Linked DNA regions of Pelodiscus sinensis. The protein of the gene in region 2 interacts with the protein of the main gene of each other region in a biochemical or structural test. Links are inferred from orthologs where the notes say so. Each region holds a gene or a part of one and is shown on either strand. Other genes may lie near its edges. The genes, in order: CRYBA1 and CRYAB.

Region 1 (15,427 bases), on a different chromosome or scaffold from region 2:
GCCTGCCTGTCTCACGGCTGCAGCAGCGTGAAGCCGGCCTGCCTGCGCCCGCGCTCTCCTCCCGCCCCTCCTGAGCCGCCCGGGACGGGCCTGCGTGAAGGAGCTTGGCTAACGGTGATGGGCGCGTGGGACCGTGCCCCTGCGACGTCTCCGCGCGGGAGGGACAGAGTCCGAACCGTCCCGCGAGGGGCCCTCCCCACAGACCTCACGGGAGCCGTGTGTGTCGGGGCCGTTTATTGGCAACTGCAGCAGGGGTACCAGGAGCAGCCCCCGTCCAAGGGAGGAACCCGTCTGCGTTAGGAGGGGCGCTGCTGGCCCAGCGCCGTGGGCGGGAGGAACCCGGCCAAGGCCGAGGAGAGCTGCAGCCACGGACGCCTACTGCTGGACGCGCCGGATGGACTGGACCTGGAAGGTCTGGGCGTGGGTGCCCCATTCCCTGCAGTGCTTGTAATCTCCCCCGTGGTGGTCGCTCTCCAAAAGGTACTGGTAGCCACGGTAACCGGGATACTGGTAGCACACCCAGCTGGAACAAAGGGAAAAGTGGGACGTGGTTGGACAGGGAAGGGGGCCAGCCCATCCCCTACGGCCCCAGTGCTGTCCTGGGCGGGCCTGGGGAACCGCCCACAATCGTCTCTCGCCCCCGCTCCTAGAGTGCGGGGAGATGAGGCAGCCCCTGCTCTGCAGGAGCCGGTGGGGGAGCCAGGCGCAAACTGCAGCTGGGATCCTACCCCCGGGGCAGATGAAAATCTGAGCCTGTTCCCGCCTGCTGAGGGCCTGATGTGCCTGAGTAGTGCGAAGGGCCAGGTAGGCCTGCGTTGTACCCCGTGTCCGCGGTTCCCTCTAATTGTTCCACTCATGCGGAATAAATGGTCTGTGCACCTAGGCACGTGCCGATGTGCACCACCCGTAGAAACACTAGCAGAGTGCCCACAGCCAGCTGCCTGTCACCTGGGCGGCCGCTCAAGCTTACACTGAACCAGGCCCGTGTCCGTAGGGATCCCGCTCCAGTTCCAAATCGGAGCAGCAGGGAGGGCCTGGGCCCTGCCGCCAGGAAGAGAGGAGCACCCGTGCGTAAAATGGGAGCAAGCCGCTCCGGCAGCTGGGCGGCCCCGGCGGGCAGGGCTCGGCTCCGGCCTGGCCCAGGCGGCGCTTCTGCCGGGACTGGGAATCTTCGCCCTGCCCCCCGCGTGCAGCCGTCCCCACTTACGCGCCGCACTGCACCTTCATGGAGCCCACTTCGTTGTTGGCCCAGCCCATGGCCTGCAGGGAGGGGTAGTCGTCCGCGATTTCCCACTGGCGTCCCAGGAAGTTCTCCCTCTCGAAGACCGTCATCTTCGACTCCTTGTGGTTCTGGGCCACAGCGACAGGGAGGCATGAGGAGGGAAGTGCAGATGGGGGGGGACGGGGCCTGGGGTGGGCTCCTTGCTCCCGGGACGCGCCCTGTGGTCTGACCTCGCCTGCCCCCCGGTCCCCTGTCTCTGTGGGAGCCTCCCGGCGGCCGGAGCCGGTGCAGTGAAGCGCCCTCCGCGAAACCCCTCGGCTCCATGCTTCCCAAAGCAGCCGGGGGGACGAGCTGGGGAAGCGTTCAATGGAGCCTCCTGGTTTTACCCAAAGCTTACAGGCTGCGCTGCATGCGCCCCACATGCGGGGCCAGGGGGCCTCACCGGGTTCTGCCCTGGCGGGAGGGGCTGCCAGGGCTTGGGGGGCAACAGGGGTGAAGCAAAGAGGCTGGAACGCAGCTCAGGGCAGGGAGCCATCCGCTGCACCCCACAACGGGCAGGGGCTCCGCGTGGGTCACAAGCTGCGCGCTCTGTGTCCCCTGCCCGCCACGCGCAGCACACGCCGGGGGAGGCTTGTAGGCAAGATGCCAAAAAAGTTGGGCGTGGTCACCTCTGCGGCCCCTTTCGGCCCTGCCACTTCACCCCGGGGCACCTGGCCAGTTTGAACTGGAGCGACTGCAGCGGCTCCCCGCTCGCCCACTGTCCTTCCAACCTCTCACCTCCCTGCACTGTCGCACCAGGCTCCTGGCCCCATCCCTGGCAGGGAACACAGGGGCCTGGCCCCATCCGTGGCAGGGAAGCGCTGGGGCCTGGCCCCATCCCTGGCAGGGAAGCGCTGGGGCCTGGCCCCATCCGTGGCAGGGAAGCCCAGGGGAGTGGCCCCATCCGTGGCAGGGAAGCGCAGGGGCCTGGCCCCATCCGTGGCAGGGAAGCGCTGGGGCCTGGCCCCATCCGTGGCAGGGAAGCCCAGGGGAGTGGCCCCATCCGTGGCAGGGAAGCCCAGGGGAGTGGCCCCATCCGTGGCAGGGAAGCGCAGGGGCCTGGCCCCATCCGTGGCAGGGAAGCCCAGGGGCCTGGCCCCATCCGTGGCAGGGAAGCGCTGGGGCCTGGCCCCATCCGTGGCAGGGAAGCGCAGGGGCCTGGCCCCATCTGTGGCAGGGAAGCGCAGGGGCCTGGCCCCATCCGTGGCAGGGAAGCCCAGGGGAGTGGCCCCATCCGTGGCAGGGAAGCGCAGGGGCCTGGCCCCATCCGTGGCAGGGAAGCGCAGAGGCCTGGCCGGCTGGCTGGCGCCAGGCAGAGGGTGAAAGTTTCAAGCTAGTTCACCCTAACCAGGGCCAGCCCTCCCCTGCCCGCCCCCTGGCCGAGGCGTGCTGCGCGTAGCAGGAAGGCAGCGGCCCCGGGTGCCTGCACGGGGGGACGCGAGGGGAGGGGAGCAGCGGGGGCCCGGCGCTCACCGCGCAGCAGATGGGGCGGAAGGCCATCAGGCGCTCGGTGTGGTAGGCGTTGCTTCCGCTCCAGGCGTCCCACCGCGGGTATTCGCCCCGCTCCAGGATAAACTGCTGCCCGCAGAAGCTGGTGTGCTCGTAGCCGATCCAGCTGCAACAGCAGCACGCCGCTCAGGGCGCTGGCCGGGGAGCAGCCCGCGCGTGGGGCAATGGGGCCCCGTCTCCCCGTGCGCCGAGACCGGGCCTGGCGCGGCCCCAGCGCCCTGCAGCGTGGCTGGCCCGGATGCCCGAAGGCTGCGCCCAGTGTCAGGCTGGGCCCTGGCCCACGAGCCACTGCCCTATGCGCTGGAGGCGGGGTGGGGCCGAGCTGGCGCTAGGCTGGCAGGGGCCCGGCCCGGCGCGTTACCGGCACAGGCTGCGCTTTGCCGCATGGACACGGGGCCGGCGGCTCCCAGGCTTTGCTCCAGCATCCCGAGGCAGAGCCTGGCTCCCCCGGCCCCAGCCCAGCGAGCAGGGGCCCCAGCAGCCCCCCTGGGGCCCGTCCCATGCTGCCCGTGAGGGGCTGCAGCGCGCCTGGGAGCCAGCCCGGTGGCCAGTGGGGAGGCTGCTTCTCCCCGCGCCGATCTGCAGGAATCGCTGCCCTGGGCGCCGGAGCCTGAGCCTGCACGGGCAGAGCCCCCGCTGCGTCCCTGCGTTCGGCCTGCTGTCTGGCATGGAGCCCGGGGGGGTCACTGGCTGGTGCAAAACCCTGGGGGAGCCTGGGCTGGCATGGAGCCCTGGGGGGTGCTGGCTGGCGCGGAGGCTTGGGGGAGGTGTGGCTGGCTGGTATGGAGCCCGGGGAGGGGGTGCTGGCTGGCGCGGAGGCTTGGGGGAGGTGTGGCTGGCTGGTATGGAGCCCGGGGGGAGGTGCTGGCTGGCGCGGAGGCTTGGGGGGGGTGGCTGGCTGGTATGGAGCCCGGGGGGAGGTGCTGGCTGGCGCGGAGGCTTGGGGGAGGTGTGGCTGGCTGGTATGGAGCCCGGGGAGGGGGTGCTGGCTGGCGCGGAGGCTTGGGGGAGGTGTGGCTGGCTGGTATGGAGCCCAGGGGGGGGTGCTGGCTGGCGCGGAGGCTTGGGGGAGGTGTGGCTGGCTGGTATGGAGCCCTGGGGGGGGTGCTGGCTGGCGCGGAGGCTTGGGGGAGGTGTGGCTGGCTGGTATGGAGCCCGGGGGGGGGTGCTGGCTGGCGCGGAGGCTTGGGGGAGGTGTGGCTGGCTGGTATGGAGCCCGGGGGGAGGTGCTGGCTGGCGCGGAGGCTTGGGGGGGGTGGCTGGCTGGTATGGAGCCCGGGGGGGGGGTGCTGGCTGGCGCGGAGGCTTGGGGGAGGTGTGGCTGGCTGGTATGGAGCCCGGGGGGAGGTGCTGGCTGGCGCGGAGGCTTGGGGGGGGTGGCTGGCTGGTATGGAGCCCGGGGAGGGGGTGCTGGCTGGCGCGGAGGCTTGGGGGAGGTGTGGCTGGCTGGTATGGAGCCCGGGGGGAGGTGCTGGCTGGCGCGGAGGCTTGGGGGGGGTGGCTGGCTGGTATGGAGCCCGGGGGGAGGTGCTGGCTGGCGCGGAGGCTTGGGGGAGGTGTGGCTGGCTGGTATGGAGCCCGGGGAGGGGGTGCTGGCTGGCGCGGAGGCTTGGGGGAGGTGTGGCTGGCTGGTATGGAGCCCAGGGGGGGGTGCTGGCTGGCGCGGAGGCTTGGGGGAGGTGTGGCTGGCTGGTATGGAGCCCTGGGGGGGGTGCTGGCTGGCGCGGAGGCTTGGGGGAGGTGTGGCTGGCTGGTATGGAGCCCGGGGGGGGGTGCTGGCTGGCGCGGAGGCTTGGGGGAGGTGTGGCTGGCTGGTATGGAGCCCGGGGGGAGGTGCTGGCTGGCGCGGAGGCTTGGGGGGGGTGGCTGGCTGGTATGGAGCCCGGGGGGGGGGTGCTGGCTGGCGCGGAGGCTTGGGGGAGGTGTGGCTGGCTGGTATGGAGCCCGGGGGGAGGTGCTGGCTGGCGCGGAGGCTTGGGGGGGGTGGCTGGCTGGTATGGAGCCCGGGGGGGGTGCTGGCTGGCGCGGAGGCTTAGGGGGGGTGGCTGGCTGGTATGGAGCCCGGGGGGGGGTGCTGGCTGGCGCGGAGGCTTAGGGGGGGTGGCTGGCTGGTATGGAGCCCGGGGGGGGGTGCTGGCTGGCGCGGAGGCTTAGGGGGGGTGGCTGGCTGGCGCGGAGGCTTAGGGGGGGTGGCTGGCTGGTATGGAGCCCGGGGGGGGTGCTGGCTGGCGCGGAGGCTTAGGGGGGGTGGCTGGCTGGCGCGGAGGCTTGGGGGGGTCTCTGTCTGCAGCTTTCTAGATTAGCTCAAGAAGCCGGGGAGCGGCTGCAGCTGAGCCGCACTGCCCCACTCTGCTGGCCTGGCGTGGGTGACTGCAGGGTGCCAGCCTGGCTACAGCTCCAGAGCCCTCTCAGGGCAAGAAACGGGCCTGTCCAGGGGGTGACCCGCCCGCGCAGTCCAGGCCTGGCTTGGAGGCCGGGAGCTCTGGCCTAGGTTTGCTCCAGATGCCGGGGGGCGGTGGATCGGCCGTCTGTGCCTGGAGGGCTCCCAGCAAAGAGACAGGCCGAGCGGCGCAGACTCGGCCGCCCGTTCCTCCCTGCCCCTGCCAGCCACCTCCGGAAAGAAGCCAGCCGTGGATCTACGGACCTGTGGGTGCAGCCGCGCTCTGCCCCGGCCCCCGCTCGCCCAGCCGTGCGCTGCATGGGGCATCCCTCCCGTGTTTTAGCCCAGCCCCCCTGTGCGGTCCCAGCAAGGCCCCCCGGGTACTCACGCCCCACAGTCCACCTTGAGGGAGCGGACGGTGTCGAAGCCGCGCTCCATGGTGTTGGAGCAGGCCGAGGTGAACTCCATCTTCTTCCCCTGGAAGTTCTCTTGGTCGTAGGCGGTGAGCTGGGGGGGAATCGCCCCGGAGGGCGGCGCGTGGGAACGGGGCGGGGAACTGGTGCCCACTGCACAGACCGTCCGTGGCAGGGCCTGGTGCAAGCCGCCAGCGTGGACCCACCGCGCCTGGGACTCCGGCCAGGCGCTGGGCTGCCCACCAGGGCGCTGTGGCCCGCAGGTGTGGGGGGTCACCCCGGCCTCGCTTCTTCCTTCCCGCCCCACTGCCCAGCTCTTTCCACCTCCGTCCCCAGGCGCGCACGGCCCTTGGGGCAGCCCCCGCAGCCCTGCGCTGCCCTCCGCCCGCGGGCGCTGCAGCCGGGCCGGCAGGAACCCGCAGTGCGTGCCCGCTGCTCACCTGGGCGTGGCGCTCCTGCCCCCGGCTGCTTGTACCGCAGGGCAGGGCAGACACAGGGGGCAGTCAGCACTGCGCCGGGGGCAGGAGGGCGGGTGGGGCACCAAGGGCCAGGCCCCTCCCTGTGGGTCACGTCTAACTGGGGGGCAGGAGACGTGCAGTGCCCAGCGCCCGCTCCCTGTGTAGTACCCAACCCAGCACACGGCGCGGCTGGGACCTACCTTCCAGGGGCCCGTGGGGCCGGGCAGAGGGTTGGTCTGAGTCATCCTGGCTGTGGGGACGGTGCCTGGAAAAGGAGGAGGGGAAAGTACAACTCGCAGCCCAGGGGCGCTGGCTGCTCTGAGAGCTGTTCTGCCCACGCGTGCTGCTGGCCCAACCCGTCACTGAGCCCCCCCCATTCGCTGCTGGCCCAACCCGTCACGGAGCCCCCCCCCATTCGCTGCTGGCCCAACCCGTCACGGAGCCCCCCTACCCCATTCGCTGCTGGCCCCACCCATCACGGAGCCCCCCCCCATTCGCTGCTGGCCCAACCCGTCACGGAGCCCCCCCCATTCGCTGCTGGCCCAACCCGTCATGGAGCCCCCCTACCCCATTCGCTGCTGGCCCCGCCCATCACGGAGCCCCCCCCATTCGCTGCTGGCCCCGCCCATCACGGAGCCCCCCCCATTCGCTGCTGGCCCCGCCCATCACGGAGCCCCCCCCCATTCGCTGCTGGCCCCACCCTTCATGGAGCCCCCCTACCCCATTCGCTGCTGGCCCAACCCGTCACAGAGCCCCCCCTACCCCATTCGCTGCTGGCCCCGCCCATCACAGACCCCCCCCCCCATTTGCTGCTGGCCCCACCCATCACGGAGCCCCCCCATTCGCTGCTGGCCCCATCCGTCACTGACCCCATTTGCTGCTGACTCCCCCCATTTTCTGTTGGCCCCACACACTCCCCACAGAGGCAGCGCAGGGCAGGGCCGGGCCACAGCTGAGCATGTTGGGCGGGAATCCCAGTGAAATACCCGGGCCTGGCTTGGAATACTGGGAAGATGAGCACGCCCAGACACCTCCCCGGCGGGGCTGGGTACAGTGCAGGTGCGCTCACACCCACACACACAGTGCATAGGTGCACACTCACACACACAGAGCACAGAGGTGCACGCTCACCTCCCCACACATACACAGTACAGAGGTGTGCGCTCGCACACACAGCACAGATGTGCACACTCAGACACAAACAGAGCACAGAGGTGCACACTCACATAGACACATACACAGCACAGAGGTGCGCACTCACACACACACGTGCAGACAGAGGTGTGCACTCACACACAGACACACACGAAGCGCAGAAGTGCGCACGCACACAGACACAGTGCAGAGGTGCGCACACACACACACACACACACACAGAGCGCAGAGTTGTGCACTCACACACAGACACACACGAAGCGCAGAAGTGCGCACGCACATAGACACAGTGCAGAGGTGCGCGCACACACACACACACACACACAGTGCAGAGTTGAGCACACACACAGACACATAAACAGCGCAGAGGCATGCACTCACACACATGCAGACAGAAGTGCGCACTCACACTCACATGCGGACGGAGGCGTGCACTCACACACACAGACACAGAGGACAGAGGTGCGCACTCACACACAGCACAGAAGTGCACACTCACAGCCCCAGCCCCACCCAGTGCGCACTCACACCCCAGCCCCACCCAGTGCGCACTCACACCCCAGCCCCACCCAGTGCTCACTCACACCCCAGCCCCACCCAGTGCACACTCACACCCCCAGCCCCACCCAGTGCGCACTCACAGCCCAGCCCCACCCAGTGCGCACTCACACCCCAGCCCCACCCAGTGCTCACTCACACCCCCAGCCCCACCCAGTGCGCACTCACAGCCCAGCCCCACCCAGTGCGCACTCACACCCCAGCCCCACCCAGTGCGCACTCACAGCCCAGCCCCACCCAGTGCTCACTCACACCCCCAGCCCCACCCAGTGCGCACTCACACCCCAGCCCCACCCAGTGCACACTCACACCCCAGCCCCACCCAGTGCGCACTCACACCCCAGCCCCACCCAGTGCGCACTCACACCCCCAGCCCCACCCAGTGCGCACTCACACCCCCAGCCCCACCCAGTGCTCACTCACACCCCAGCCGGGCTGGCAGCGGGCACAGGAGTGCGAGCGAGAGCAGCCAGCCCTGTTCCGAGCAGGGCGCTGGAGGAGGGAGCTGCCCTCCGGCCGTGTGCTGCTGAGCTCCTGCCCCCATTTGCTTTAAGGCAGGACCCGCCGGCCTGGGCTACGTCAGCCTGGCCCGGCCTTGGGGGCCCGCCGCCGGCTCTTTGCTCCTTCCTGCCCCTCGCGCTGCCCCTGGCCTGCGAGCCCCCTTGCCCCACCCGTGAGGACGGGCGTCGGGGCAGGGGAGACCCCGCTGTACGTGCTGACTCTTTGCAGGCTCTCGGGGGCCCGGGAGGGGCTGGCCTGGCCTCCGGCCCCCTCTAGCCTGAGTGAGTCTGAGGAGAAAGCCACGTCCAGCCAGAGGCACTGCCGCTGAACGCCCTTCCCTACGGGCAGCATTCGGGGCTTGTGGGGGTGAGCTCAGTCCCGGCCCCCGGCCCCCGGCCCGCCCCCTGCAGGTTACGTCCCCTGCCGGGCACGGCGACAAGGGATCAGCACCCCAAGGGGACTAGGGGTTATCCCCCTGGGTAGCAGCGCCATCAGGGACAACACTCACCTCCCCCTCCCCCCAATGAGCGGCAGGGCCCAGCTGCACTCCCCACGGCCTTCTCGCACAGTCCAGATTTCGTTGGGAGCTTCTGTCTGCTCCCCCCCAAACACCCTGTCCTGGCTGGAGTGGAGCCCCCCCCCGTGCAGAAACGGAAACACGTTCTCTCACTATTTGCCTGCTGAGCCTGAAGGAGAAAAGCCTATCGTTTGTGTGTGTGTACGAGCAGGTGTGTGAGCAGGAAGGTGTATTCTGTGTCTGGGTGGGTGAGTGCGTGTGTTCCACGTCTGAGTGGATGTATTCCGTGTCTGGGGGGCTGTGAGTGGGTGACTCTGTGTGCATGAGCAGGTATATGTTGTGGCTCTGTGTGTGCGTGTGAGTGGGTGTATTCCGTGGCAGGGCGTGTCAATGTGAGCATGTATCTTCCATGGCTGTTTGTTTATGTGCGACTGGGTATATTCTGTGGCGAGGTGTGTGTGAGCGGGTGTATTCCGTGGCTGGGGGCATGTGTGTGAGCGGGTGTATTCCGTGGCTGGGGGCATATGTGTGAGCGGGTGTATTCCGTGGCTGGGTGGGTGAAGATCTGTGAGGTAGGGCACATGTTTTCCTAGGTGTTTGCACGGCACCAAGTGCAAGAGGCCCAGTCCAGCGGGGGCGCGGGAGGGTTACCACACCACAGACAACACCACAAGCCGGAGCTCGCCGGCAGGCAGTGCGGCCCAGGTGTAACAGGACATCACCTGCCGACGGTGCCGTGTTCTGCTGCAGCCGCCAGAATTCCCTGCTCTGTCCACACACCGGCCGGAGACCTGGCAGCTTCGCCCGCTGCAGACTGGCGAAGGGAGGAACCGTTTCTGAGGTGATGGGAGGGGGCGCGGGAGGAGGCCGATCCCAGGGCAGGGGCACCACCCTGCCACCTCCTGAATCGCCTGTGCGGTGTCTGGGTCGCGGGTTCAAAGGCCCGTTGGGGAATGGGCCTGTGCCAAGGGCTAACCCTGGGGACTTTTATTGCAGCCCCTGGCGCTCGGCCGGAGGGAGGCCGCGTCTGTCTGGCTGAGAAGAGGGAACGGACAAAGCGACGGGAAAAGTCGAGAATCCAGCCCCCGCACTCACCTAGCTCGGCCTGCGCTGCTGCTTCCTCCATGTAACGCCCGACTGCTCCGGAGCCTCCCTTTATATAGGGCCCGGCTGGCAGAGCAGTCAGCACTCTGCTTTCTCTGGCCCTGGTTCCTGCTGAGCCCCGGAGATTCCAGCAGCTCAGCGCCCTAGTCTGAGCCACCAACAAAAAACACCCCCCCCCCCCCCGCCCCGCGTGTGGCTGTTTGCACGGCTAATCTGGGTCATGGATGACTCAACAGCTTGGGGCTCTGGTTCTTTCCAGCCCAACAGCATCCCTCTGTCATGAGACAAGCAGGGGGCTCTGCCCCCCCCCAGCAGGGACACCCCCTGGGGGCTCTGTCCCCCCCATCAGGGATACCCCCCCGGGGGCTCTGCCCCCCTCCTAGCAGGGACACCCCCCAGGGGGCTCTGCCCCTCCCTCCAGCAGGGACAACCCCGGGGGCTCTGTCCCCCCCCAGCAGGGACACCCCCCGGGGGCTCAGAAAGCCTCTGGGCATTTCCTTTCCCATTCCGGAGGAGCCTCGCGAACGGGACACAGGCCTTCCCAAGGGGGTGCTGGGGGTATGGCAGCCGGCCTGCTGCAGAGGGCCCGTTACCCCACATGCATGGAAAGGGTGGAGCAGCTCGCGGGTGTGGGCTGGGTGACCCCGAGGGAGGACCCCTCTCCATCTATATTAATACTCACACAGCCCCCATTGCTGCTCTGTGAGAACCTCACCCTCTTCAGTGGACTTACCCCTCCGACTACCCCTGCGAGTTACCCCCATGGACCAGATGGGGAGCTGAAGCCCACGGGGGCTAAGTGACGGGCCCAAGGCCACTCAGTCACCAGAAGCAGAGCCAGGAACCGAAACCTGGTCTCCCAAGCACCCTGCCTCCTGGGCTGTCCTTCCTGTCTAGGCGCCCCCGCGTGGAGCGCTGCCTGGGGTTTGATTTCGGAGGGAATTAGCCGGGGCTCCCCGGTGGTTAGCTGTCTGACAGCAGCTTGGGCAGGGCTCGGAAATGGGGAGCTGCTGGACCGCGACGGAGATAATGGAGTTCCCCGCTGCAGGCGTGTAGCAGTGGGGGCAGGCCTGGCGCGGTGCGGACATCCGGCCCTGCTCTCCATGGCCCTCGGCTGCAAACGGGGGGCTCTGCAGGCTGGGTTGGGACCAGAGCGGCTCCCTGGAGCCCTGCACGCACCGGCCATGCTGCCCGGGGAGGGGTTGCGTCAGCGCGGAGGAAAGGGTCACGCCAGCTCTGCTCAGCTTGACCATCAGCGTGGGGGGAGGGCGCCCAGAATGACCTTGTAGTGGGCCAGCTTCCGGGGCGGAAGGGGCAGCTTCCCAGCTGGGCCGAGCTCTGCATCTCCTCTGGGGAGGAGCGCCTGAGCCACATACCCGCCGGGCCCAGGCTCAGCGTGGCCGGGAGGGGGCCTGCTGGTTTGCAGACCAGCTCGGGGGGGGCTGGCTGCTCCCTGAGGCGGGGACCTTGCGCTGTGGGGGGAGCCCAGGCACAGCTGTTAAAGACGCCCCTGCCAGCCCTCAGAGCCCTGCAGAGGAACGGCTAGAGGTTCTGCCGGCCCCTGGCGCCGGCCTCGCCTGGTGGCCTCCCACTGCACGGCGGGAGCCGCCATCCGGCCTGCCCGTGGTAACCATAGTAACTGCATCCTTCTCTCTCCCATCCCTGCCCCGGCCGTATCCCAAGTGGCCTGGTGCCCGCAGGTTTGGGCCCAGGATGCCCCCTGACCGAGCCCGGCCGGCTCCTTCCTTCCCAGGCCGGCCTGGTTGGGCTCCTGGCGGCCCTGCCCCGTGGCAGGCCAAGCCTGTGTGTGCTGGGGGCCTCCGCCCTCAGCAGCCGAGCGAGGTCAGGCGCGGGTTGCTGGCTCAGCGCTTCGCTCCCCGCCGCACAATGGGCCGCTGTGACGTCTGACTGCCCCTTTTGTCTGGCCCTGAGGGGGCGAACAAAGCGCCCTGTCAGCTCCACCTGGGCCTGCCTATTGTCCTCGCCGGGCTTCCTGCCCTGGGTCGAGGCAGGCCGGGCTGGGCTCTCCGCAGTGTCCCCTGCAGACCCCAAGGGGCAAACCCAGCAGGGACGGTCCCGGGGAGAGGGGAGCCTACAGCTGGGTGGTAAACGAGGAAACCTCCCCCGGAGGGTCTGCCCCCGGCCCCTAAATGTCCTTGCTGGGTGTCTGCCCTTCAATGCTCCCATCTCCTCAGCACCCCCCCGGGGGCGCCCATCCGGCTTCCCTGGCAGCGTCTCCCCTGCTGCAGCGGAGCCCCTAGAGCGCCGGGTGCTGCCGACCCACAGCGAAGGGCAGGAATGACCCTTAGGACGCAGCCTGTTGGGGTCGGCAGGGAGGCCCCCCAAGTCCAGCCAGCACTGAGGCCACAGGGGAGGGTGTGGGAGGGGCAGGGCACAGCCGCTGGCAGTCGCTCTGGGGAGGAAGGTGCCAAGCTCCGTGCGATTGTCCCGCGCCAGGCTGGGGAGCGCCCCAGCACGGGGAGAAGCGACGGAGCCGGCTGGAAGGAGCCAGGGAGGGCTGTTGTTCCTGGTGACACAGGACTAGGCTGTGAGGGGCACTTGGGCCACAGGCCCACGCAGGGGACTAGGCCCCCGTTGAGCCCATGGCTGGGCTGCGCAGGGCGCTGTGGCACGTGGCCCCCTTTCCTGCTTACCCAGAGCAGAGAGGTGGGGGGAGCCGGGGCCCCCAGAACACCAGCCGGCCCAGTGGTGTGGCACGATGGGGGCTTAGTCCCAGGGGAGCCGGGCGGCTCCTGTATGTCCCGGCTCAGGGCTCTGCCTGGCTGCACAAGGAGCCCCAGAAAGGCCTTTGCAAAGGGCATTTTTCCAGGGGGGCAGGAGCCAGCCTGCCTTTCCGCGCTGGCGCTCCCCAAGAACCCACGCCCGTCTCCCCGCACGCCGGACAGACGCTCCCGCGGCGTGGTGAGGCCCAAGGGACCGTGACGCTCCTCCACCGGCCAAAGAGCCTTGCCCAGGGACCCCTGCCACCTCCCCCAGTGGGGCTGCCGCGCTGCCTTCCGCATGCCCTCCGTCTGGGTGGGAGGGGCCACGGGGCAGAGCACCCCCCAGTCTCGGGGAGACGTCCCCTAGCTAATTCCCCTGCTGCTTAGAAAGCAGGGCCTCAGCTCCAGTGGGTTCCAGTCCGAGTTTCTGCTTCGAGCCACTGGATCGTGGGTTGCTTTTTGCTGCCTCTGGTCTGAAATCTCTTCCCCAGGCAGGTCTGGACGGAGCGCGACCGGCCTCCTTCCTCGCCTTCCTTGGCCGCGTGGCTTGGACCTCCTCGGCCCTGCTCGGAAGCAGGTGCCCGGAGCCAGAGCGCTCCGCGGTTTGCCGGTGCCGTGTGGTGGGGACACTTGCCCCTTGCTGCGCCGAGGTTGTCTCCGCGACGATTGGGAGCCGGAACCCCGCGGGCCGGCAGATTTGTGCGGGCTCCGAGCCCATCTCCTCGGGTGGCAGGACGGAGCCTGGGCCCTGAAGTCTGCGCAGGCTGGACTCTGCCCCCACCCATGCTCCCGGAGAGCAGCCCCTCACTCTGCCAGCCCAGGGGAGTGGAGCCCCCTCATGGTGAGTAGCAAGGGCAGGCGCTGTCCCCCTCCGGCGCCCACCCCACCGCCAGCAGGGCTCCCCCTGCGAGCAGCCCCAGGACCTGGCTAACCACGCTGTGGCTCCAGGCCTGTCCATGGCAGACGGCTGCCCTGAGATGCAGCCGGGTACATGAATGCCACCTGGGCCCGTATCCCGTGGCTCCGTGGCGCTGGGGGAAAGCAACGGCGAAGGAGGGGGGAGACCGGGGCCTTCCTGGAGCTGCCGTACAGTGTCAGGCCACTGGAGGGAGAGCTAATCCCAGGAAGCGAGCTGGGCCAGCCCGTGGCGGGCGCCCTCTGGCCTTTCTGGCTGCAGACCGTTGTCGCGCCAGAAGCCAGCCAGCCCTGAGAAGTGGGGGGCGAGGAGAAGGAACCCCCTGCTCATCCCATGGGGCAGGGCTGGGAGGGGATGCTGGTCGCTCAGCTGGGAGCAGGGGGGTTCGCTGCAGTGCGGTGGGTGGCAGAGACCCTTCGGCAGAGCCCCAGGGCTGGGGTGAAATGAAAACGAAACGCTCGCTGCAAAGCGGATCTTGGGCTCCGACGGCGGCTGGAGCCCGCGGACTTGGTAGCCGACGTCAGAGGCCGTTAATGGGGAGCAGACGCGGAGTGTCTCCCTCCGGTCCTGGTGTCTCCTCGTGTCCCCCCCAGGGATGCGAGAGTGCAGTCGATTAACCGCACGCAAAGCGCACAGGTTAATGCTCTACACGACATTTCTCCCCCACCCCAAGGACATCTTTTAGCAGGCCGGTCGGCAACCTGGCTCAGTCCTGGCTTGCGACGGGGCTGGGACCTACCTCTGCTGCGGCTCAGTTCTGGCTCATGCCTGGTCCAGGAGCTCAGACACCACCCCTGGACAGGGGCTGCTGCCGCCCTGCACTGCTGCCTCTGTATCAGAGGGGACAGCGCCAGGTGCCAGGCAGCTGGTCTGCGGGGGAGGCGGGGGGGAGCTGGTTTTGAAACCAGCGTGGAGTGGCCGGGGGCTCCTCGGAAGTGAGGCTGGAGCGCACTGGCTGCCGGCCCCATCCCCAGGGACTATAGAATAGTCGACTAACCGATAAGAATTCGTGAGGTTACTCGACTATTCAGTTAACCGATATGTGACATCCCGAGTGCCCCACCCATCCATCGCCGGACGTCCGGCTCTTTTCGCTTGGGGAAGGGGCTGGTGCTCTGTTTGTCCTGCACCTAGAGCAAGGCGGGCTGAGCCACGAGGGGGGCTGTGACAGACCGGGCCGTGTCTGGGCACAGTTGAGGGCGTCCGCTCAGGGCGAATTGCTCAAATCCGGGGCTCCTTACAGCCCCCAGACTGGTGACCTTTCCAAACCGGCCACACACCAGTCCCACAGAGCGCTCCAGCAGCCTGCCTGAAGCCTCACGAGCAAAACCCCTCCGACACCCCAGCAATATCCGTGCCCCAGATGGCCCCGGGCCTCATACACAGGTGGGGGGCCCTAACACCCAATCCCACCTACCCCGAACAAGTTCTGTCTGGTTCCAAGAAACCAGCCACAGATCCCTGGTCAATTTACCCTCTGGACCTTACCCACAAATCACACTGGGCCAATCCTTTAGCATCTAACATCTAAAGGTTTATTACCACAAGAAAGAAAAGCCTGAGAGTGAGGTTGTTAAAGGATAGTACGTTACATGCACCGAATCTCCCAGTCCTCGATGCAGGCTCTAGCAGAGATGTTGCAGCTGCTGGTTTAAAAGTTCTTGTTGCACATCCTACGATCAGGATGGGTTCACAGGTCTTCCGGGCTCTTCGATCCCTGCACTGCTGCCTCTGGGATGAAGTGCTGAGCTGAGAACAAAATGGCATCGACCACATGGCCTCTTTATACCTCCTTCCTGGCCTCTTCTGGTCTCAGCCGGTCACCTGGTCCTCAGCCTCTCTCTGCTGGCCGCTCTTAGGTGTCCGCCCTCATGCTTTAGGTGTGTCCTTGGCCCATCGAGTGCCATTGTCCCACAGGGCCTCGCTGATTAG
Region 2 (15,427 bases):
TGGAAAAATCAATCATGCAACCAAGGTGGTGGCAAAATATTCCTGCATATAAAGTGAAACCAGCAATGTAATGTGTTCCTTAGTGCCTCAGGTTGGGGGAGACTTTGGTTTCATAAAAGCCTAATGTAGTCTGAGCCCTGCAATGCTCCATCCTTGAGCCTTGTATCCATCCATCTTCACCCTGCCAGAAACGGGCAGTGCCGGTGGGGTTCAAAGTAAACTCCTGTCCTCTCTGAAACTCGCAGCTTGCAAAGTGCTCTAGAGGCAGCTCTTCTCAGCTTCCCCACTACCTGTGTGCCTCAGAGAGGGAAGAGAATGGGAGTGTGGGGCCATTGTGGGAGGTTCAATCGTTACCCTCCCAAGCCTGCGTCCAATACACAAGCTACTGAGGGGTCCTGAGAGAGGCTTTACTGCTCGGTTCCAGGTCTCCAGACTCTGCAAAAGGAAGATTCACTTAAGTCCCAGTAAGCACAGCAATCCCTTGGGCCTAGCCTAGAGCAGGGGACTGATGTGCTTGTGTTTCATGCAGCTGTGTCCAGTCACCCTACCAACACCATTGTGCTACTCATATATGTGAGCATGTAATACTGCATCTTGCCATTTTCAGCTCTCTGGATTTATTATTCAGGGATCAAATCCTTCAGTTCTTACTGAGTCAAATCTGCCACTCAGGTCAAGGGTGCCGCAAACATCAAATAAAATCTTTAGGATTTGGCAACAGAGGTATATGAAGAAATTTTAGAGCTGACTTGGCTATGGGGATCACAATAGACTAGAGGGCCTGTCTAAATCAGGATATGTGTGCTGCTTCCTACAGACTGGATACAAATCATATCTTAGATTGTAAGCTGCTTGGGGCAGGCACCATCTTTTGGGTTCTGTGTTTGTATTGCCCCTAGCACAGTGGATGTCTAGTGCATGATGGGCTTCTAGATATTACCACAGTACAAATAACAATAGCATGCATGTACACTAGAGCATGGGTTCCCAAACTGGGGCGTGTGCCCCCTTGGGGGGGTCTGAAGAAATTCCAGGGGGAGTGTGAGGCGACCTACCCCATCTGTCAGAGCCCCCCCGCCCCCACAAGTTTTGCTGCTATTTGGGGGGGGGGGGGAAGCGTGAGGGTTTCTAAAATATCAAAAAGGGGGCATGATGCCGAAAAGTTTGGGAACCACTGAGGCACAGTCTTACCAAGCTTTTCTATACTAGCAGTGACGCCACATCCAAGTCAAAGACAAAACCACAGGATGCTTATTTATGTTTTATTTGTTAGCAAATGAGCTTGTTCTCTCTCCTTAGCATAAATAAATAAGTATGGCCAGTCAGTACAGCGTGTGCTGCTTGCATCCAATGGAAAGGTTTTCCTGGATGGAAAAGTCGGTTTCAAACAGCTTCCTACTTCCTCTGGGCCCCTGCGATGGCAGATTTCTCCTCGCGGGTGATGGGAATGGTGCGCTCGGGAACATCACTTTGTTTCCTTGGTCCATTCACTGTCAGGACACCATCCGAAGACAGGGATGAGGTGATGGACAGGGGATCCACATCCGCTGGGATCCTGTACTTCCTATTGAACTCCCTGGCAACGAAGCCATGCTCATCCTTATCGGAAGGAAGGAAAATAACAGCCTAGGTTTGGTAGGCCAACTCCATTCCAATTAATAACATCCCCTCCCCCGGGAGCTGAGGTCAAGTTTGGGAATCTCCCGCCCCAAAGGAAAAAGTTTCAGAAAGTTCGGAACATCCCCATCTCGGGACACCTTGGCAAAGCAGCGGGGCTAAGCGGAATTCAGACACTGCATGGTGCTGTCCAGGCTTAAGCTGGACGCAGGCTTAAGAACCTTGTAAGCTTCATTTCCTGGTGGGGCTTCGCAACCTCATTTAATCACATTGCCCTTATTAGTCCGAGTTCTACTGTCGTGCCATAAAACGTTCCAGGCAGAGCAGTGACTGGTACCATTCCCCAGGGTCTGTGTATATTACAATGCACAGATTCCTAATCATCTGATCTCCAGTACAGCTCTCAGTTGCTGCTGGGGAGTTTTGACTTCACCCTCCTCCCAACTGTTGCATAGGTATTAACTATTAAGGGCCATATCTCAGTGGAGACTGCACTTAGGTCACCAAGGGCAGAATTTGACCCTTTGGCTACGTCTAGACTGGCATGATTTTCCGGAAATGCTTTTAACGGAAAAGTTTTCCGTTAAAAGCATTTTCGGAAGAGAGCGTCTAGATTGGCACGGACGCTTGTCCGCAAAAGCACTTTTTGCGGAAAAGCGTCTGTGCCAATCTAGACGCGCTTTTCCGCAAAAAAGCCCCGATCGCCATTTTCGCGATCGGGGCTTTTTTGCGGAAAACAAATCTGAGCTGTCTACACTGGCCCTTTTGCGCAAAAGGGACTTTTGCCTGAACAGGAGCAGACTTCCTTTCTTACAGTAGGAAGTCAGTGCTTTTGCAGAAATTCAAGCAGCCAGTGTAGACAACTGGCAAGTTTTTCCGGAAAAGCGGCTGATTTTCTGGAAAAACTGGCCAGTCTAGACACTGCCTTTGAGTGTACAAGCTACAGTTATAGGGCTTTGTCAGAGTAACATTCTGAATAGCAACATCATTTGGTTTAATTATTAACTATTCTGTGCCTTATTACCTGATTTGATATTCATTAATTAATCTCCAAACTGGTGCTTTCTTCTCCTTGCCCTCTTGGCCCCTTTCCCAACAAGAGAGAGGTTCAGAAATGCTCATTTGATGATTGTTTTCCCCTAGCAATAGCCTCTGCCTTGATGTTGCCCATCTGTGATAGGTCAGGGGGCTGCACTCAGCATCTTCGTTAGGGTAAATGATTAATTAAAGTGAACAGAAGTTATTTCAGAGACTCAAGCACCAAGGCACTTTTGCCATCTTGTGGGATCCTTGCGTGACAGAAACGGGGCAATTCAGACTTTGCCAGAGTGGATATACCTGGCGCTCCTCGTGTTTCCCATGGACCTCGATCACATCCCCCAACACCTTGACTTTCAGCTCCTCAGGAGAGAAATGTTTCACGTCGACATTTACGGAAAACTTGTCCTTCTCCAGTCGCATCTGCAAAGCAAGGGGCTGGTTAGAAAAGAGCAGCTCCAATGCCAGCTGGAGGTGCCACCCGGCACCCAGGCAGGTCAAGAGAAAAGTGCCTATCAATTTTAATGATGAAGGACCAAACCCTAGAGTAGGAGGCCATTGTCCAACATGCCCTGCCCCGAAGGACTGTTTAAAGGCAGCAGGAGTTGTCTAATTCATGGGTTCCCAAACTGGGGGGCGTGCCCCTGTGGGGAGGGGGGGCGAGAGGCGATCCAGCCCCCCCAAGTTTTGCTGCTATTTTTGTTTTTTGGCCCTGGTCAGTTCCTTCCCCCCCCCCCCCCAACAAGTTTTGCTGCTATTTGCGGCGGGGAGAGGGGGTGTAAGGCTTCTCAAAAATCAAAAAGGGGGTGTGAAGCCAAAAAGTTTGAGAACCACTGGCCTAATTAGTTTCAGTCCATGCCAGGTTGTCTTTGTCTGCCTAGGTTTCTTTATTGTTGTCCATCACTGTAGTATCTGAGCACCTATGTCTTGTCTTGACTAGCAGAGGATAAATACTTTCTTGTGGAGTGTGAAAGGGGCACACTGTTGACTTGGACTTTTAGGAATTGATCAACAACTTTGCATTTGACCAATTGTTATTAGTTGATATTGTTTGTTTGTAATTCCTTTTGCGGAATTATTTGGAATTATTATTACTTTCTGCTCCCTTTCTGGATATTTACAGGGATCTTGTCAGTGATAGAGTGTATTTTCGTATAGTTCAGTTCACATTTTCTCCTGCATCGTCAGAGCCTTGACTGATCTAACGAAGGTGTCATTGGCAAATTTTGCCATGAAGGATTCACCTGCTCTTTTCTAGATCATAGATAAATACATTAAACAGTATTTTTTCCTGGTATGAAACACTGAGTCACACCCTGCTAATCTTTTGCCTTATTTCCTTTACCAGGTGGAGTAAGTATCTCATTCTATTGGATGCCCCAGGCAGGTTTTCCATTTCTGATGTGTACCTGTTTGACTTGAATAACCTCTTAGTCCCTGTCATTTAGATAAGCTGTTTTCTCTTTTGCCTTTCTGATTACTTACTTCTTTTTTTGCTGCAGGATGTACATATCTTCTGAGACTGTTAGGAGATGCTTAAATAGCCTCCTTGCTGACTCTCAGCACTTTGGTTTCCTCACTTGGGACTCAGAATCTCTCTGCTTCCTCAGTTGTTTGAGTTTCCCTTCCTAAAATTTAGTTTTTGAATAAGATTCCTCCATCCAGAATGCTGAACCTAATTACACTGAGCTCTCTACACCTGGGAGCTGAGCAACAAACAGAAGTTGGTTCAACCGGCAATTATGTCTCAGCCACCACATCAAGAAAATGAAGAGGAAAAAAAATATTTGCCCCTTATGTCTTTCAGGGTACGTGTACACTGCACGGCTACTTCAGGATACCGAATAGCTACCCTGTTATCTACACAAGCCACCTGTTATTTCAAAATATTTTTTGAAATAACGGGCACACTATTTCACCATCTCGGTAAATTTCGTTACATGAGGGATAAGGGATGGCTCGAAATAGCACATTATTTTGAAATTTGGTGCTGTGTAGATGCATCAACTATCAAAATAAGCTATTTCGAAATAGGTTCGAAATAAGATACCCAGTTTGCATAGTGCAAACTGGGTATCTTATTTCGAGTTTAGGGTGCTGTGTAAACGCACCCTCAGAGTAATCCTAGATGTTTTTTGTCCCTCTGGGTCTGATCCACAGTCAATGAAGTAGAAGATGACCTATGTTTTCAATGGGCTTTGGAGGAGCTCTAAAATAGGCACAAACTCTTCAGCTAGCAATGGGACATTAAAAGGGTGGTGTTCCTTTAAGACTCTGCTAGGTGTGTTAGTCATTAGCTTGTCACACAGTCCCTGCATTTCTCCTCTACAATTTAAGCTGCTGTTAATGCTCTTGGAAACTTTAGACACCCAAGGCCTGTTCCCGATTTACACCAGGCTGGGAGAAGAATCAGGCCGGTTGTTTACTAACTCCCCACTGTGCTTCAACTAGGGCATTGCTATCATAGCAGCTGTTTTTGTTTTTTGCCTCCCACTCCCAACTGCAAGGCCGAGAGGGACAAAAGGACACTTGTTTGGCGTGCAGCAGTTCAGAGCTTGCGCTGAAGGACATTTTCACAGGAATTTCTGCATGGCCACGAGTGTTTATGAAGCCCCAAGCAATACGAACTTGGAGCTCTGCCAGCTTCTGCTGTGATTGGTTTGTGAAATTCCCTGGGAGGAGGGAGACTCAGACAAAGGTTCCGAGTCTGAGGACTAAGCAAACTAATGCTTAACAAATGACAGTGGGAACCACAGGGAGGATGGAAGGGGGGAAAGGGCAGAGAGGATATTAAGGGTCAGGGAACAGGCAGCGTGGAGGGAAGAATTTTCCTGGCTCTTCTCTTACAAATTAACTACCAAGCTTCCATGCATCATTCTCCTCTGTGTTTAGCTTCTTCTGGAGGAATCCCAAGCACTTCTCTGAGCTGAGATCACAGAGGAAGATGCCTAAAGGCCCATCAGCCTCTGAGGATCCTTTGCATCAGCTAGGTTGCCACAAAGGGGTTGTAATGTAAGGCAGGCAGAAGCTGCCTCTACTACACATTACCCCTGGCAAAAGAAGCTGTTATGCTCTGGTACTGCCAGCTCTGTGCCACCCCTGCAGCAGCCCCAACCTCCTAGAGATACTGAATCTCCCCTTATGGGGCTTTGAAGCAAGGGCACAATTTGAACTGCACCGACGGCCAGCAGCACTTGAGTAAGGAAGGCATGAACCGTCTCCCCTGGGTTGTGTCAGTGCTGGATGAATCTGACCTCAGGTGCAGGGAGCACATGGTCGGAGAAGGGAAATCAGCAGTAGATAAGCCCACTGTGCTGCTGGAACTAGCCAGATCTCATCCTCAAGAGACTTCCTAGGAGTCCCTCCAAGTAGCCAAGCTACAGCAGGGATGGTGCCACCCTCTGCAATGAAAGCAAAGCTGGTTCCTCCCATTGGTTTGATCCCTCTGAGAACTTTCCCTCTAATTAGTGCTCTAAGCACCAGGTGCCAAGTCAAAAGGTATTTGCCCCAGAGGGATCTGATGCCTGAACGAAATACAAATAGGGGCAGACTTGCACTTACTACCATCTGAGTGGTGCCATGTGCAATCAGCCACCCGCTGACACTGTTCCTGGAGCCGAATGGGCCAACAGTGACCTATTCTGGGGTGCTGGAGTCACAGCGATCTCCCAAGAGGCTAAAACAAAATACAGGACTATGTAGCACTTTAAAGACTAACAAGATGGTTTATTAGATGATGAGCTTTCGTGGGCCAGACCCACTTCCTTAGAAGAACTTCCTCTGGCCCACGAAAGCTCATCATCTAATAAACCAGCTTGTTAGTCTTTAAAGTGCTACATAGTCCTGTATTTTGTTTCAGCTACACCAGACTAACAGGGCTACATTTCTATCACTATTCTACATCCAAGAGGCTAGGGAGAGTTGTTCTGTACTAAGGTTTTCCCGGTCTTCCTACAGCACCAGTTCCTGGATGAACGCATTCTTCACATTTCTGGCTCATTAGAAATATGCAAGGAATCAGCGAAGCGGAGATGCAGTGGAGCAGGGAAGCATGGGCGGACTGTTTTCTAGCTCAAGCTTGATACTGACAAGAAGATGATCCTCCGGGCACAGGGGTATCATTTACAAGGCAGGGATGGAGGGCAGAGGATGGATCCATCTGCACCTATCTTAAAATGCAGTTTTACTCTGGGCCCTTGTTGTGCGGCACCATCAGCCCCACAAGCATCGGCATCTGAGCTGATTGTCTTAGGAACAGGTTTTTGGACCAGACTGCTGATAACATCTGTTGCTCCTGGGAAAGGGAGCCAAAGATTCGGATGCTATTTATTTCTCATGTGGTAGCACGGAGCAATCTCAGTCAGAGATCTATTGTGCTAGGTGCTGTACAAACCCAGGGCTCCTGCAGCACCACAGTCTCAGCGGTAAGGCCCTCTATAGACACCAGCCAAAGTTTCGTGCACAGAATCTTTGCGTCTGAGCATTAAGCGTGAGCCCAGTGTGACTCAGATCTCAGATTTTGCTGGGCCAACAGTAGCAACGAACACGTTTTTCCTGGTACACCGAGCGGTTTTTCTCCATAGATATCAAAAGAGGAAGGACACGGAGCCAACCCATTATGCCAACTTAGGCACTTTGCAGAGCAGAACCCCAGTCTGCTTGCCCTTCTAAGACTAGAGCCTGCCAAAAACCTGTTTGCTCAGTTCCTTGCAGATAGGTATGATAATCTACTATTTAACTAATTAACCCTTTGTGCAGACAGCGGAGACTCTATGACTTTTCCAATGTCGTTCCTAGTCTGATTGCTCACAATTCAGTTGCTTCTCAAATGCCGGCCAGCTCACAGATCTAACCTGCAAGAGGCATGTAAAATGACATGCGCTCTTGTACGTTACGATGTCACTCATAAGCCAGCGAGTCAGGCACGAAACCCTTGGGGAGAGGGATGCAGATTTGGAAGTGAGCTCCATACCTGCACACCAAAAGCCGAGGAAACTCAGGTGCTGCCTTTGGGCTCCATGGAGAGAGGAGTACTCACACCTTAGCGCCCCCTGTTGGTCACTCCACAGAGCAGCATTGGAATGGTTATAGCGGGGATGGAGATTTCATCTTCCTCGCCAGCATTAAAACACGACCAGTAAAACAGGGCCCAAGAATGAGGCAGTGGGGTAAGCAAGACAGCCTCATCTTCTTTAGCAATTAGGTCAGGGAGACTCCGGCATCAAGAGGATGCTCAGGATTTGATGCCTGGAGATCCTCAACATCTGTAAGTCTCTAATTCTCTGTGACTCCACAGAAGTAAGGCAGAGGTAAGGGAGCTTCCAATGAGGAATTGTGCTGGGTGAAAACTGGGACAGGCAAGAGGAAGCATAACTGAGGTGTTACCGCAGGGGGCAGGGACTCAGAACTCCTTTCCCCAAGAGGGAGCGGGGTGTTATAGTTAGGAAAGTGAATTGGGCATTCAAAGCTTCTGCGGTCTGTTCTCTGCCCTGCCACTGGCTGCTGTGAAATTTCAGGCAAATCACTCTGCCTCTCTATCCCATGGCTACCAGAACATGCCCCTGCCTTACCGGGGTCTGTAATGCTTAATTAATTGATATTAGTGATTCATTTTGAGGTGCTTGCTTCACAGATGCAACTGAAGCATGATAAGTATTGTTATGACATAAAGGGTTTCACACTGATGTAATGCCAGGCAGCGCCTGTAGGACCAAATCCAGCCTGGTACAGGGAGCAGGGACACAAGATGACCCCGTCTGTTGCTCCCTCCCCCAGGTTTTTTCTAATCACAACCTGTGAGCAGCTTCCCAGGGGTTCCCCAGGGAGGCAGGCTGGGCAAAAAGACTCCAGTCCCAGCCAGAGGCATGCACAGGCAGACAACAAAGTATGGGAAGAGAGAAACATTACCTCTGAGAATCCCGTCTCTAGCCAGCTGGGTGTCCTTAGGAAGGGGGATCTCAGCAGGAAGGGGTTGAGAGCGCCCGAGGTAGGGAACAGCTCAGACTCTAAGAGATGCTCTCCGAAGCTCTGGTCAAAGATTCGTGTTGGCGTCAAGAAGGAAAACAAGGGTCTGCGGCTGAAGGGGTGGTGAATGGCGATATCCATCTGTGTTTATCTGGGAGAAGAGTAAGAATTTATGTGCAGCAGAGTTCTTCAAGGACTGGTGTGCCAGGGCTTTTTATACCCGCTGCCGTCCAAGCCTCGCCCCCACTGAACTCTCTGGAAGGGTGATGTCAGGAGTTTTATTATCCCAGCTCCAGTCTGCTCCATTCAGCAGTGGCCAGTCAATTATCTAGGGGATTTGAATGCGCTGCTAAGGAGGAGGGGAGAAAAAGTCTAGTGGGTCAGCAAGAAGCAGAGCTGCCCGGCCCCACACCCCCACGCACTGTTTATCATCAGGGTTGGCTGATGTCGTTGCTGCTTCAGATGCCAGGAGGAGCAAAGCAGCTCCTATCTTTGGCTCGCACAGAAAGTGACAAGGGTCCGTTGTCTTCATCGTGTTCGGAGTCTAGTTCCTGAGGTTACACACGACTCTAGAGATGGCTCTGCCGAGCGAGCCTTATGGAACAGCAGCTGCGGGCCTGCTTTAGTCACAGGACTCACCGCCAGAAAAACGCCGTTAGATCGCTCTGTCCATCCCAACCTCCCACACAGCTGGTGTGGGTCTGTCTGTCCTGCCTGTACATGCCTTGTGCATGTCTGTATTTCCTCAGCCCTCTTCCTCCCAGCTGGTGCGGCTGTCTGTTTTGACCTCTCCTGCCTCTTCCCACATGCCACCTCATGTGTTTCTGTCTTTCCTGACCCCCCTATCTCTCAGATGGTGTGGATCAGTCTGTCTTGACTCCCCCATATCCCAGCTCATGGTGGTCTGTCTGTCCCAACCTGCCTCTCCCACCACCAGGACAGAGCTGTTCCCTCTTGTGTTAGCAGGTTTCCAATTTTTAGTGTTGTCTCTATTATGCAAACCAGGAATAAAAGTAAGGTCTGAATCTAAAATGTTGATCATCCTCTAAGCAGTTTTACTAACTGGCTTCTTTCCTTCTTTCTCTCTCTCTCACCACACAGGGGGGTACCTACAGGCAAGGCACCCAAAGGATAGAGGGTCAGACATCTGGGCAAAATGTGTGTGTGAAGCTTCAACCTCTGCTGAACTGTGCCTGTTCGAAGGGTGAACATAGGATCGCAGCCCGCTGTGTGTCAGTCCAGCACTTCCGTCTTTTCTTCAGTGCTAAAGCCACTTTGATCGGAGATTTGGAGGAAGATGAGAGCAGTGGCAACTGGTGCCACCCAGAGGGGCAAGGAGGAGGCACGTGGGAGGATAGCAATAAAGATTTAGGTGGGGACAGCACATCTCCGGAGTGCTACCACGAGTCCCCTGTGGGTGAGAGCTGAGCACAGTCTAGGTGTTCAGACTGACCTGTTACATAAATGGAACCACCTATATTGAGAATGCTCTGAAAATGCTGTTAATGCATCACCACCCTCGCAGACATACAAGCTGTGATCTATCTATCTATCTATCTATCTATCTATCTATCTATCTATCTATCTATCTATCTATCTATCTATCTATCCTCATATATGCATCTATCTGTTGTGAGCAAGACACGAGAAGTCATTCTTCCGCTCTACTCTGCGCTGATTAGGCCTCAATTGGAATATGGTGTCCAGTTCTAGGCACCACATTTCAAGAAAGATGTGGAGAACTAGGAGACAGTCCAGACAAGAGCAAGAAGAATGATTAAAGGTCTAGAGAACATGAGCTATGAAGAAAGACTGAAAGAATTGGGCTTGTTTAGCTTGGAAAGGAGAAGACTGAGAGAGGTGTCTAAAAGGGTGTCACAAGAAGGAGGGAGTAAAATTGTTCTCCTTAGCCTCTGAGGATAGGACAAGAAGCAATGGGCTTAAAGTGCAGCAAGGGAGGTTTAGGTTGGACATTAGGAAAAACTTTCTACCTGTCAGGGTGGTTAAACACTGAAATAAGTTGCCTAGGGAAGTTGTAGAATCTCCATCTCTGAAGATATTTAAGAGCAGGTTGGCTAGATATCTCTCAGGGATGATCTAGATGGTGCTTGGTCCTGTCATGTGGGCAGGGGACTGGACTTGATGACCTCTTGATGTCTCTTCCAGTTCTAGTGTTCTATGATTCTATGATTCTATACGCATCTATCTATCTGTGTATCTATCTATCTATCTATTTCTGCTCCAGAGAGCTGACAATCTAAGTAACATTTATTGAATGAAACACACTGTTATTGTTCGTATGTTATTGTTCGTAATGGTCAGGGCTCGACAAATCAGTGAATCTACTCGCCCATGGTGAGTAGATTTCAGCTGGTCGCCCCGTTCACCGGCAGCGCGCGCATGCACAATGCGGGTCTGGCGCATGCGCAGTGCGGGGCTGGCGAGTAGATTTCGCTGCGGTTTGTCAAGCCCTGGTAATGGTGATAGCCCAGCTTCACAGACAGGCTCCGGGACACACTCCTCCTGCAATCTCCCTGCTCCCCTTTGGGAGATAGATTCTTATGAGTTTTAGCCAGCAGCTGCCAAGAGCACAGTGGAGAGAGGACCAAAGCCACATCCAAAGGCTCTCCAGTTCCCTCTCTTCCTTCTTTACTTTAGTGACTCGGTGGTGTGCATGCAGCTGCTTGGGATGGATGTTGGGAATGAATGTGCAACACCCAGAGAAACTCCCACAGCCAGACCCAGCTGTGGTTCAGCTCTGTGCCATATTGCTCCAAAGCAGACAGCACCCAAATGAGGCCAAAAGGAAAAAGGAGAAATGCTGCCTGGGCACAGGCTGACCCAGGAGCCTTTCTCTGGTGCAGAGCTGTGCTCTGATCCTGTTTCATTCACAAGTGAAGAAAAGATGGAAGAGAGCAAGAAGGGTGAGACTCCAGCCCTGCCAATGCCTCCCCGTGGACCTGCAGCTGCCGCCCCTCAAGCCTGATATGCAAAAGCCCTGGATGTGTTTCTCCTGGTACCTCAGCCAGGTTGGCATCCAAGTTTGCTGGTGTGCTACCCAGCCCTGCCCACTGCTGAGCTGCGCCCCATTTGTATTCATAGAGCTACTAAAAATAAAAAGTGACTCATATAAGCCACTGGGTTAAACTGAGCACTGAGTAAGTCTGATTACTAAGGCTAATGGAGGAACATGCAATGACGGGACGGGCGCAGCCGCCCGACGCCTTGCCAGCTGCCACCAAGTGTGACATCAGTGTTGTATTTCTGGTTTCTATCCTTTCTGTTCGGGCGCCTTCCTTTTCTCCTTCTTCCAGTGGGTTTGGCTATATGTGCTGGGCTGACACCTTCCCAATGGCGCTGCTGGGAACTTCCTCCTGACAGTGCCCTTCCCCTGGTCTGCAGACTTGTGCTCTGATAGGCTGGTCACCAGACGTCTCCACACAGACACTTGACTCTCCGTCGGCAACCCCAAGGGAAGGGCGTCCGTCTGTTACAGGTGGCCGTCTGTCACCTCGGCTGGGTGATGAGGGGGTTTTCCAACACACCTTGCTTAGGAATGGAGAGGTAGCTTGTCCGCTCCTTGGGGCGGGGACAGTGGTTTTGTTCTGTGGCTGTACCGCACCTAGCGTGGTGGCGTCTTGGCCCATGACTGGGCCACCTAGATAATAACAGGGAGCAGGCAGCCCTGTCTTTGAACTTCACTGGCTCCAAGTCTGCGCTCACCTACAGCAGCTGTTGTAAATTCCATTGATGACAACAGAATCACCTCTGCTCTCTCTGAGCTAGTGGACACAATGGCCACATCCCGTGCTCTTGCCTCTGTTCGGTCCAGGAGGAACCATTTTCCTCCCAGCTCCGGGATGTAGCTACAGTCAATCCGCAGTCAATCCTGCGGCTGGCTCTTGGCAAGAGGGACAGCAGGCAAAGGGGGCAGCAACAGCCCAGGTTGTAAGTGTCTCCTTGGATTATTTATCATGTAAACAAGAAAGATGTGATGTTGGAGCACCTGCTGCTCTGTGCCTCGGAGACTTGGAGCCTTCAAGGCATCTCCAGTTTCAGGCCACAAGGGTCGTATATGGGGACTAACCCATTCAGGACTTTAAATACGGATCTGGGCCAAATTCAGCCCCCAAATAGCTGAGGCCCGTCTATCGTAGGCATTTCCATTGCATCAATCCCTGTGATACTGGAACCCTGACATTGGAGAAAGGCCAGGGATCATTTTAGCTCATTAGTATTTAGTGGCTCAGTTTGGAGTGGGCAGCGTGGCGGGGGCAGGGAGAAATGTCCACACTATTTAGCACATACACACAGAACTTTACACCTGCTGAGTGATGAAGCGCCTCTGGAAATCAAGCTCCCTTGGATTTTGTGAAACAGAGAACGACTCCTGAAGAGGTGAATGGGAGAATGGTCTTGCTGCTTCCCACAACATGCCCCAGGGCCTAGCACAGTTCGGACCCCTGGGCTAATCAAGCCCTGGTGGAGGCTAGAACATTCGTTGCAACAATGTATCACCCTAAGTACCCAACGGTCTGTTTGGATTCCAGTCTAGATGTGTGTGGTATGTGGGGTACTGGACAAAAATGCAACCCTGTGTAAAGCATTTCCCAGCATGAGCTAATTAATCGTCGCGGGGGAGGGGGTGTGGGGGTGCTCAAGCCCCTGAGGTCCTGGTAGGCAGGTTGGTGTTATTAACCCCATTTTGCAGATGGGAAGAGTGACTCATAATGAGGGGCGAGGCCACAGAACACATCATTGCTCAGAGATGGGATCAGAGCCTCAGAACTGCTGGCACCCAGTCCTGCATTCAGCACCTAGTACGTGCCCTCCCCTTAGTGAACACCTCATCCGGGCTGGCTTGAGCCATTCCTGTGCCCCGGGCAGCGGGTGCGCGATGCATGCGCGGCTCCACCCCTGGGTGCACAGCACATGCGCGGTTCCCCCCCCCCCCCCCCCGGTGCACTGTGCCCCATAGCACTGCCATTAGGTGCCACGCGGCTGCGCGGCGCCCCTTAGAGCTGCTATCAGGCGCCCCCTATAGGTCAGCGCCCTGGGCAGCTGCCCGGCTAGCCTCCGCCTTAATCCAGCCCTGCACTTCATGTAACTCTGCCTAGGCAGTGTTTCCATTCGCTCACCTTCCCTGGAACCCCCTTCAGCCTATGCCTCCCAGTCCCAGTCCTGCAGCCTCTCCCATTCCACTTCACTGCCTGGCACACCCAGGCCCCGGGAGCAGGGAATCCTAGCCCTCTGGCTTCCAATCCAGCAGGACAGCACATTTTGCTTTCTGGAGCCTTAAACTCAGCCATCCAATAGCTGCAGCCCCTCCCTGTCTGCAGACTGTGGCTAGTACCCAGCAGGAATGCAGCGAGGCCCTTTCCCTCATCCTCCTGGCTGAGCGTCCCTCGGCCTGTGTGTCTATTTCGGTCCGTATCTTTGTCACGCACCTCCCTACGGAATTCACCCGATTAAAACGTTACGATCTGCAGCCCTCTCACTCTGAGAGGCAGCAAGCACACAGACGGTCCCTTCCCCGACAGACTATGGCCGAGCGGACTCTCCCCCATGCCTACCCTATGAGCACGGAGTACGAATTCGCCAACCCCAGCAAGATCTATGACCAGAACTTCGGGGAAGGTAAGAAAGAGTCTGGGCTTCTCCTCTGGCTACACTTCCCCATTCCTGCTGCTTTTGCTCACTCCTACTGCAGGGGACTGTCCAGAGTCATCCCCTGGGACATCACTTCCTGCAGACACAAGGTGAAGGAACTAGGGGTTCTGGGGGCGTTGCTGCACCCTCTGGTTTGAAGTAGATTCCATTACATAAAGGATTTACAATTTGATTCACTGACTCTCAGCACCTCCACTATACAAGCTATTCCAACAACCCTGCAGGGACACACAAGTGTGTGTGTGGGGGGCAAGGAATCAAGAAAACTGAGGGCCCGGGAAGGGGCAGAAGGCATCAGGAGAAGCCTCATTAGGAGCCAGGAGCCATCATGCTCTTGATCTTTCTCCTACTTCATTCCATGCTTCATTCCCACTTTCCTTGCCTCTCCCTTCCCTTTCACTATTCATGCACCACCAGCACCCGAGGAACAAAATCTTCCCCTTTGAGCTGGTCTGCAGGGCGGAGGAAGGGCCTCTGGTTGGCCTCAAAAGCAAACCCATGTGCAGGGGCGGATATACGGCAGGGCGAGCGGGGCGGCCGCCCCAGGCCCCGCGCTTAAGAAAGCCCCGCGCATGCGCCGTGGCAAAGGGGGGCCCTGCGGAATTATGCTGCCCGGGGCCCCGCAAAACGGTCATCTGCCCCTGCCCATGTGGCACCGCCCAGGCCAAAGGGGTTCTGTGTAGTTACCAGAGCAGGGTCTCGCTCTTTTATTGCAAAGTGGCACCTGAAAATGGTTAGGAAAAACTAGTCCTGTTGCTCCTTAATTAGCTGAAAGGCTGCTTAGCCAGCAAGCCCCCCTGGCCCTCGCCTGGTGATGCAGCAGCTGCTGCAGACCTTAGCAGCAGGGAAACTTCCCGTTGCCCACTGTTCGGGAACAGCCATGGCAGAATCTGTGTGGCAGGAGCTGGAGCTTTTGAAAGGGCTGGGGGTGGTGGGGACTTTGCAGCCACTGTCAGCCCAGTGAAAAGCTGAGCTGGTGGGTTCTGGACAAAGCAGGAGCAGCAGCAGCCAGACGGGAAAGAATGCAGGAGGCAGCAGAACCATTCACCGGGCTCAACGTGCCAGCACAACAGTGTGAAAAGGCCAAAGCCCCAAGAGCAGCCGGGTGTCATTTTCACACAAAGGGGTTTAGTTTTTC

Evidence for each region.
Region 1: the proteins of CRYAB (region 2) and CRYBA1 form a complex in vitro, tested with the Homo sapiens proteins (2 studies listed by BioGRID and IntAct, with this or other methods). The link is inferred for Pelodiscus sinensis from reciprocal best matches to the Homo sapiens genes CRYAB and CRYBA1.

Annotation. Positions count from the first base shown.
Region 1 is NC_134731.1:2,056,497-2,071,923, reverse strand, and holds CRYBA1 (beta-crystallin A3), read right to left. Parts: upstream 10,003-15,427; 5' UTR 9,879-10,002; coding exon 9,848-9,878; intron 6,287-9,847; coding exon 6,222-6,286; intron 5,658-6,221; coding exon 5,539-5,657; intron 2,877-5,538; coding exon 2,735-2,876; intron 1,351-2,734; coding exon 1,208-1,350; intron 524-1,207; coding exon 376-523; 3' UTR 229-375; downstream 1-228. UniProt on the Homo sapiens protein: Crystallins are the dominant structural components of the vertebrate eye lens.
Region 2 is NC_134736.1:6,796,184-6,811,610, forward strand, and holds CRYAB (alpha-crystallin B chain), read right to left. Parts: upstream 8,955-15,427; 5' UTR 8,761-8,954; coding exon 8,563-8,760; intron 3,079-8,562; coding exon 2,956-3,078; intron 1,600-2,955; coding exon 1,396-1,599; 3' UTR 1,249-1,395; downstream 1-1,248. Other genes in the region: HSPB2 (heat shock protein beta-2), read left to right, coding at 14,163-14,256. UniProt on the Homo sapiens protein: May contribute to the transparency and refractive index of the lens. Has chaperone-like activity, preventing aggregation of various proteins under a wide range of stress conditions.